Danio rerio: one gene and its partner. The protein of the gene in region 1 purifies or fractionates together with the protein of each later gene. This does not show direct contact. Links are inferred from orthologs where the notes say so. Each region holds a gene or a part of one and is shown on either strand. Other genes may lie near its edges. The genes, in order: ppp5c and ptges3a.

Evidence for each region.
Region 2: the proteins of ppp5c (region 1) and ptges3a purify together in Homo sapiens (affinity purification with mass spectrometry; 5 studies listed by BioGRID and IntAct, with this or other methods). This does not show direct contact. The link is inferred for Danio rerio from reciprocal best matches to the Homo sapiens genes PPP5C and PTGES3.

What each region holds. Positions count from the first base shown.
Region 1 is NC_133190.1:2,798,347-2,802,762, reverse strand, and holds the start of ppp5c (serine/threonine-protein phosphatase 5), read left to right. Parts: upstream 1-1,308; 5' UTR 1,309-1,311; coding exon 1,312-1,402; intron 1,403-4,416. UniProt on the Homo sapiens protein: Serine/threonine-protein phosphatase that dephosphorylates a myriad of proteins involved in different signaling pathways including the kinases CSNK1E, ASK1/MAP3K5, PRKDC and RAF1, the nuclear receptors NR3C1, PPARG, ESR1 and ESR2, SMAD proteins and TAU/MAPT.
Region 2 is NC_133198.1:29,970,419-29,974,934, reverse strand, and holds the start of ptges3a (prostaglandin E synthase 3), read right to left. Parts: upstream 3,048-4,516; 5' UTR 2,878-3,047; coding exon 2,876-2,877; intron 754-2,875; coding exon 640-753; intron 1-639. UniProt on the Homo sapiens protein: Cytosolic prostaglandin synthase that catalyzes the oxidoreduction of prostaglandin endoperoxide H2 (PGH2) to prostaglandin E2 (PGE2).

The DNA of each region.
Region 1 (4,416 bases):
AAGAAGCTAGAAAGTTCTACACTCACCGGCCACTTTATTAGGTACACCTGTCCAACTGCTTGTTAACGCAAATGTCTAATTAGCCAATCACATGGCAGCAAATCAAAGCATTTGGGCATGTAGACGCGAATCACCTCAGACTGGTTTCCTGAACATGACAATGAGTTCACTGTACTCAAATGGCCTCCACAGTCACCAGATCTCAATCCAATAGAGCAGCTTTGGGATGTGGTGGAATAGGAGATTCACATCATGGATGTGCAGCTGACAAATCTGCAGCAACTATGTGATGCTATCATGTCAATATGGAGCAAAATCTCTGAGGAACATTTCCAGTACCTTCTTAAATCTATGCCACGAAGGATTTAGGCAGTTCTGAAGGCAAAATGGGGGCCAACCCGGTACAAATAAGGTACCTAATAAAGTGGCCAGTATTGTGTTCATGTTATTAGTCCATGAAGATTTCCTGCTTGTTTTCAAACTATATCATAATTTAAAACTTTAAAACAGCAAGCATAACATTACGTATCAATATGTGGACACTTTTGGATTCTCAGAGGCTAAAAACCAGTTTAAACCAGCCTAAGCTGGTTGGTTGGTTTTAGCTGGTCGACCAGCCTGGTTTTAGAGGGGTTTTGGCCACTTCAGGCTGATTTCCATTTTTAAGCCTGGTCTTAGCTGGTCAGGCTGGACAATGACCAGCTAAAACCACCTCGACCAGCCTGGTTTAAACTGGACATAGCTTTGGCTGGGCTCCCAGCCTGGATAGGCTGGTCAGGCTGGTTGTAGCTGGTCATCTGCCAGCCTGACCAACTAGGACCAGGCTGGAAATGGTTGGAAACCAGTCTGGAAATGGCCAAAACCCCTCTAAAACCAGCCTGGTCGACCAGCTAAAGCTAGCTTAGGCTGGTTTTAGCTTTTTTTCAGTAATGAAAAATGTAAAACAGGAAATACACTGTGGGCAATTGTTATTGTTTACATCACTCAAAATAGTGTTTATGTCATTTTTGACAAAAATTATTTTTAAAATAAAAATAGGCTACAATTTAAGTTATTATACGTTCCTATTATATTATTAATATTTTATTAATTATTATTTATTAAATTATTTAATTTATTATAACTATTTTACGATCCAATTATTTGAATACAGATTTTAATGGAGCGGTTATTAGTGTGTTAAAATGTTTACTTCTGAACGTTTGTTTATTTTTATCTATTAATTAATTTATTTTTATTCTGGGGTCTAGACTGTTCTAGACGTACCTTCCCGTAAGTGTTTGCGACAGCTCTTCGCGCGCACGCGGCAGCATGACGGAACACGGCAGCGAGAAGATGGCGGAAGAAGAGCGGAATGCCAGTGCAGAGAAACTCAAGGAGAAGGCTAATGACTACTTTAAAGGTACAATCATGCCAAATACCCGCTGCAGATAAGAGACTGTACTGATGTCGACTGTATAGGGCCGTGTTGCGTGAGTTTGCGGTTTGATGATGACTGGTGAGATCAATAAAAGGGCAGCGTGTGTGAGACAAGCACACACATGATGAATCAGAGACACACACCACCATAGACTTTTCTGCTCGTAATTCATACTTATGATAAATAAACTCGACGATGACGTGGGAGATGACGTAACACACGTACTTAGAGAGCTGCTGTTCTGTCAGGTGTATGAATGTTGGTTGGCTGTCATTACCACAGTATTAAGACTTTAATACCCTCACAAGAGCAAGGTGATCACGTGTTTTCGCTGAATACATAGTTTATTTTCGGTTTCTGTCTGCTTTTCATTCATTTTATATCGGGAAATTATCATCCTGCTGTTTTGACAGGTAGTTATTTTGATACTTGTGCTTATCCTATGGTCATTTCTGAAAAATACTTAACACGAGTTAAACTGTGGGGTGTTTGTGTTGAGGTAAAGTTGGTTTTATATTCGCACATTTCTTCATTCAACGTTCCCTGTTTTATTTAATACGCTAATTTGAATATAGGGTCTAATATCGCATGTAAATATGACTTGAAAAAGACATTAGCACTATTTAATTGACTGTGAATAATGTTGTACTTTGATATTCATTGGCTGCTAATATGATTTCACTATTTAGAATTTGTAAACATTACTTTTCTAAAATTATATTATTAAGGAGAAAGTCTGAATGTGCGAATATAAAAGCAACTTTATCAATGATATGTGTTGCATTTGAAAAGGCAAGGCAAGTTTATTTATATAGCACATTTCATACACAGTGGCAATTCAAAGTGCTTTACATAAACAGGAATAAAAGACGTGTATATAAGAAAAAAATAAAGACAAATAGTATTAAAAACAGGTTTTATATGAATGAAAAAGAAGATAAAGACATAGTAGCGCAATCTGTCGGACAGCACAGTGCTCATTCAGTCAAGGCGCATCTAAACAGATGTGTTTCAGTCTTGATTTGAATGTGCCTAATGTTGGAGCATATCTGATCATTTCTGGACGCTGATTCCAGCAGCAGGGGGCGTAGTTGCTGAAAGCTGATTCACCCTGCTTTGACTGAACTTGGAATTTCTAGTTTATAGAATTTCTAGCAGGGTGTTTACACCTCTAGTTTGGAAAAAGTCAGGAAAGTGGGTGTGTCCAGCTCTGTTTAGGTGGGAGGGAAAAGGGGAAGGTTTTTAAAAAAAATGGGAGTTTCCTTTTGGGCACGCGCTGATTTTAACCGAGACAAAACGAACACACTTGACTGTGTTTAATGACTGTAGAATGTTTGATACCGCACGTCGTATAAGAGAAAAAAAAAACTCTGCATTTCTCGGTAGCTCAGATGCAGTCGGTAGGTCAGAAAGCTGTGTTGTGTAGACTATCCTGTCTCAAAATGCGGCGAAAATTAAACACGGCGGTCGGTAATAGTTTGATTGCAGTGGTCATGTTTACACTCTGAGAGCAGCATTTACAGCAGATCTTTCAGTCCATAATATTGTAGTGATATTAACGTAAACTAAGTAACTTAGAAATCATTTTGACTAAGGTCTGTATTAACACTGAAAGAGTGCTGCTGAAGATACGAACTATAACTTTGCCATCTGAATGAACAAAGAAAGGGCACTGATTGTACACACTTACCAAATCTGTAGAGACAACACATACTGGAACCGCGTCTTTATTAAAAGGAGACGAGCAGCAAATCCAGTTTTCACAATTTCCAGATGAGAAAAGCTCTCGAATAAAAAAATTTTAGTACAAACGTAATTCAGCCGCGCGTCGTGTGCAGTAATCCACACATAATCACATTATAAAAGCAACACTAACGACCCGTATCTCCAAACAATTTTTATTCTTTTCCGTCCTCTTTTGCCAAAACAACGCGGCGTTTCTCTGCCGTCTGAACACTGTTTCAGGTACAAACAGTCTTGGAAGCTATTATGCATATTAATGAAGTTGCACCGCATACACATTAGAGCGCGCTGATTGGTTTCAACCAAGTCTTACTCAAGAATAAATGCAGCACACTCAGAGACGTAATAAGGCACTCCCTGGTACAGACGTCCACTCTACACGCTGTAATACACGCTAAAATCTCATGGCCGTGACGCAGCTTCAAAAATTCATTTCAAACCGGAAGTGTGAATTTGCGTGAAATAATGCAAAAACAACCAATTTTCACTTTTTAGCTGAATATAGGTGTCCTAATAGTGTTTTTAGCAGTGTGGGACACATATACGACTGTCAACAGCTCAAAACATGTGTTTTTTCCAGCTGAATAATCCAGTTTAATCCAGCTTAGGCTGGTTGGCTGGTTTTAGCTGATCGACCAGCCTGGTTTTAGATGGGTTTTGGCCATTTCCTAGCCAAATGGCCTAGCCTAGCCCAGCCAAAACCAGCTACGTCCAGCTTAAACCAGGCTGGTCAAGTTGGTTTTAGCTGGTCATTTTCCAGCTTGACCAGGCTGGAAATGGCCAAAACCCCTCTAAAACCAGGCTGAAAATGGGTGGAAACCAGCCTGGAAATGGCCAAAACCCATCTAAAAGCAGGATGGTTGACCAGCTAAAACCAGACAGCCATTCTAGGCTGGTTTAAGCTGGATTTTTCAGCAGGGTTGGTGTTTTGTGACCCTTTATAGAGACAGGACTACATTCACACATGTGCCGAGAACTGTTTGACCAGGCTGTGGATTAAAGCTAATAACATTGTAAACAATGTGTAATTTCTTAAACCGAGCGATCATTTTGCTTCACAAGAGCTCAGTGTGGCATCATGACTATTGGTTTGAACTCGTCTGTATGCGTTTATTTTTGAATCTCAAAAGCTTGCACCGTTCACTGCCATTATATCAATCACAAAAGACCACGTATCCTGCTCAAATGTTCTACTGAAGAAGTGGATGACCTGTGGGCGAGTAAATGAACAGGAAGTTTTCATTTTTGAATCT
Region 2 (4,516 bases), on another chromosome or scaffold:
AGAGTGAAAGTTTATCATCTGCATGTGTTTTTAAGGCCTGTGACTATGTGAGCATTCATTCATTCATTTTCTTTTCGGCTTAGTCCCTTTATTAATCTGAGGTCGCCACAGCTGAATGAACCGCCAACTTATCCAGCACGTTTTTACGCAGCGGATGCCCTTCCAGCTGCAACCCAAAAAGACTATGTGAGCATTTTACGTTTAAAGCATTTTAGTTGTGCATAAAGAAGTTTAATAAAGGTTATTTTTATTAAATTACTTGTATAATGAAGACTATGCAATGTTATTTTACATTTGACATTTTACATTTATTTAATTTCTGTACCTGAATACTGTTAGATTCTCTCCAGAAAACATGGTTTAATTTACTTTCATTTTTGCACCATTGTGTTGATATATGAATGTAGTTTGTTTATTATATGTATATAATAAATTACATTTAAAATATATATTTATATTTCACACCCCTACACAATCATCCCAATCACACTAAACTAAAGATTTTGCAGATAGAGCTATAACTGTCATCTGGTGAAATTGAATTTATATCGCAATATACATCGCAGAGAAAAAAATGCAATGTAAAATGTTTCCAAAATCACTCAGGCCTACTATTAACAACTTAAAACAAGGATGTACCTGAAATCAAGCTTTGTTTTGTCAAATTTAACTTGGACATCTTTGCTGTCTTCTATACAAAACTCGATGAAGACAGCTTCCCGTCTGTCATACCACTTGGCAGTAGCTGGCTGCCTGCAAAACAAAAAATGAAAAGCAATGTTTTAGAAAAGGCTTCAGTCTAACTCCACTTTAATATGACATTCAAAAACACAATATCACTTAATTCTAATGGAATCCATGAGGAACTGAGCAACCAGCTAAGTGCATTTGTTAAAAGTCAAACTCCACACTAAAAGTGCAGCTCTAAATTAACATGTGCGGGCAGGAGGTCCTGGCGGGGGTGGAGCAACAATGACGTTACCGTGGCAACCTATTTGTATCAATTGGCAGGATCATGCATGGCTTCTTAACAATCTACCTAAGGCTTAACCCATGTAATACAATTATAGCAAAACCAGGCCTCTGTAATAAAGGGCTGCACAATAACTCCTATTTAAATCTGGAGTTTATTTTTATTGCTGTAGTTATAAGCAGGGTTTCTGTAGGTTTCATTAGGTTAAATGTAAGACTTTTAAAGACCTTTTTATCATGAAGGAAATTTTAGACTTAAAGCTAAATGCTAAGGATTTTTTTTTTTCGAATATCCCAGTTGGAAAATTTTTTCACTTGCCCTCTCAAAAATAATTAGAATTTAATACATTTAATAATACAATAATAATAATAATTTAATAATAACAAATATAGGTCAGGTGGTCAGTATCCTCAGCAGTAAATAAATGGGCGAACTTTTTAAAAACAATTACTGTAAGGAAAGTAATTAAACAATGATGGTAAATTAGTTCAAAATGCAATTTCTAAATGAAAAGTTTTGTTGAGATTGTTGGTGATTGTATGAGTGTTAATGGCCAGATTGGGAAGCTATACATGAACAGAGGAAAATTAAGAATGTTAAAAAAGATTTAAGACATACAACACAATATTTCAGTTGATTTGGGACTATTTGAGGCCTAAATTAAAATTTTTGAGATTTAAGACTTTTTAAGACCTTGTGGATACCCTGTATAGGATACAATAAAACAGTCATTCTAAGTAACTTTTTAATTTTAAGGCTTTAAAAAGTAACTTTATAACTTTGATTCTTGGAATAATTCACCCAAATATTTAGAATTCGCACCATTTTCTCTCCCTTATGTGGTTAAACCTTTAAGTATTTTTCTTTTGTTAAACACAAAAGATGTTTTAAAGAACTATAATTATTAACCTCCATTGTAGGAAAAAAAGCACAAGAAGTCAATGGTTACAGGTTTCCAGCTTTCTTTAAAAAATCTTTTGTGTCTAACAGAAGGAACTCAAATGTCTGAAACAATTAAAGGGTGAGTAAATGAAAATGTTTGCGTGAACTATCCCTTCTAAGATTAATTTTCAGCATCATTACTCCAGGGTTCAGTGTTTTACGTGATCATTCAGAAACCACAAGATGCTGAACATTTATTATTATATTACTATATTATTTATAAAGGAGATTTGGTTCATATTTTTTAATTTTAGCATTTATCATGTCCATACATGCATTTAAAAAGATGGTGTATCATTGATCGCAGCTGAAAACCTTTCAGCCTTGCTCTGCTGGTTTAGCCTGTAGACTGTTAACCAGCATGACCTGAAGGAAAGTACTCAAAACCATCTCACAAACCTGTCGTGTAAAGCTGGGATGACAAACTAAACCCCTTCAGTTGGCCAAATAGCCACCCAACTGATCTCCAGCATGGAAGACCAGCATAAACTGGCATTAATACCTTCTTAAACCCGTTCAAACAGCAAACATGACTTAAGCATGTTCTTTTCCAATAGGGAACACCCAGCCTGCAAGCCTTGATCTGTAAAAGGTTGATTTATATGACACATATATTGCTTGTACATTCTACAATAATGCATATGAAGCATGAATAGATGAACAGAATAGAATCATGCCATAGTAGCTTGCAGTAACCCCAGGCCTAACTATCTAGCTGCTAACCAGCTAGCTAAGCTCTGCTGTGGGGACAATGTGTGCTATTTCCACCACCAATTACCACTAGACGTTTTTCTACACAAATTCTAAGCTTCTTCACGAGGAAGATTCGTATTGTCCTAAATGTTCATACATGATAGTTGGCGTATGAGAGAGAATCTGGTGTTTCGCTGATAAAGGTTATGCACACATTTGCTAACTAGCTAAAGTTAGTGCATCCCTATGACTGCCGGTCAGACTCACATGTCGAATTCTCCTTTCAGTGTTCACCCAAATCTGCGTCTCCTCTCGCGTCCTCTCGCCTGGGGTAGTGTTTTGGATTTGTGCTGTCAGATCACAGTGAAGGCATACAGACGGAAGCTATAGCTGTTTATGCGCCGCTGTCAACCTGCACAAGGAGTGCGCGTGTCTCTACACACTGGCGCGCAGTGACGCATCAGCTCAACGTTTCTAGCGACTTCTGCTGCGCGCCCCCAGCCATGCGCGTTCCCTAAGCAAACACGTCTCCATAGTAACGCAGTGCTCGCTCCCCTGCTCGCTCCGCCTTGACAGTACAGTACAGGACGTCCACTGATGCAGGGCCACACAAATCATACGTCATACTTTTTCTTGAGTCAGAATGAAATTGTTTTGTCAGGATCCTCAGGCGTACTACACTAGGCGAAATGAATGAAGTGCATGTGCATTCACATGTATTTTATAAAAAGCATTTAATTAAATATTAATAAATAAATACAAATATCTGTCAGTCTGATAAAGGCAACACTTAAAGAACTGCAGATAACAAACGAAATAAGGTAATAATACAAATGATACCAATAATATTAATACTTTAGTAGACATTTGTTATATTAATAGTGATGATAATAATAATAATTGTAATAATAAAACAACAAATTATGAAAAATTTGTAATATTAATAATAATAGTAATAATAATTTATCATTATTATTTATTATTATTTATTATTATTATTATTATTATTGGCAGCATGGTGGTACAGTGGGCAGCACAATCGCCTCACAGCAAAAAGGTTGCTGGTTCAAGCCACGGCTGGGTCAGTGGAGTATGTGGAGTTTGCATGTTCTCCCTGTATTCGCATGGGTTTCCTCCGGGAGCCTCAGTTTCCCCCACATGTCCATAGACATGTGATCTTGGCTGAGTAAGCTAAAACTGTCTGTAGTGTATGTGTGTGAATGGGAGTGTATGGATGTTTCCCAGTGATGGGTTGCAGCTGGAAGGGCATCCACTGCTTAAAACATAAGCTGGATAAGTTGACGGTTCATTCCACTGTGGCGACCCCAGATTAATAAAGGGACTGAGCCGAAAAGAAAATGAATGAATGAATGAATGAATGAATGAATTATTATCATTATGATGATGATGATTATTATAATAATAATAATTATTATTATTATTAATAATAATAATAATATTAATAATAATAATAAAATAACCATGACACATTATTTACAATAATAGCAATGCCATAATGACAATAATTATTGCTATAAACAAAACAACAACAATCAACATTATTATTATTATTATTAATACTACTACTACTAATAATAATAATAATATTTATAAAAACTTATAATTTTTGGTTGTTGTCTGCGGATTTTTAACAGTTAAGGTATATAGATGGATGAATGTGCTATTTTTATTATTATAATTATTAATATATTATTATTAATATCTATCTATCTATCTATCTATCTATCTATCTATCTATCTATCTATCTATCTATCTGTCTGTCTGTCTGTCTGTCTGTCTGTCTGTCTGTCTGTCTGTCTAATAAATAGACAACACTTAAAGAACTGCAGAAAACAAATGAAATAAGTAAATAATACAAATTATACTAATAATATGAATACTTTAGT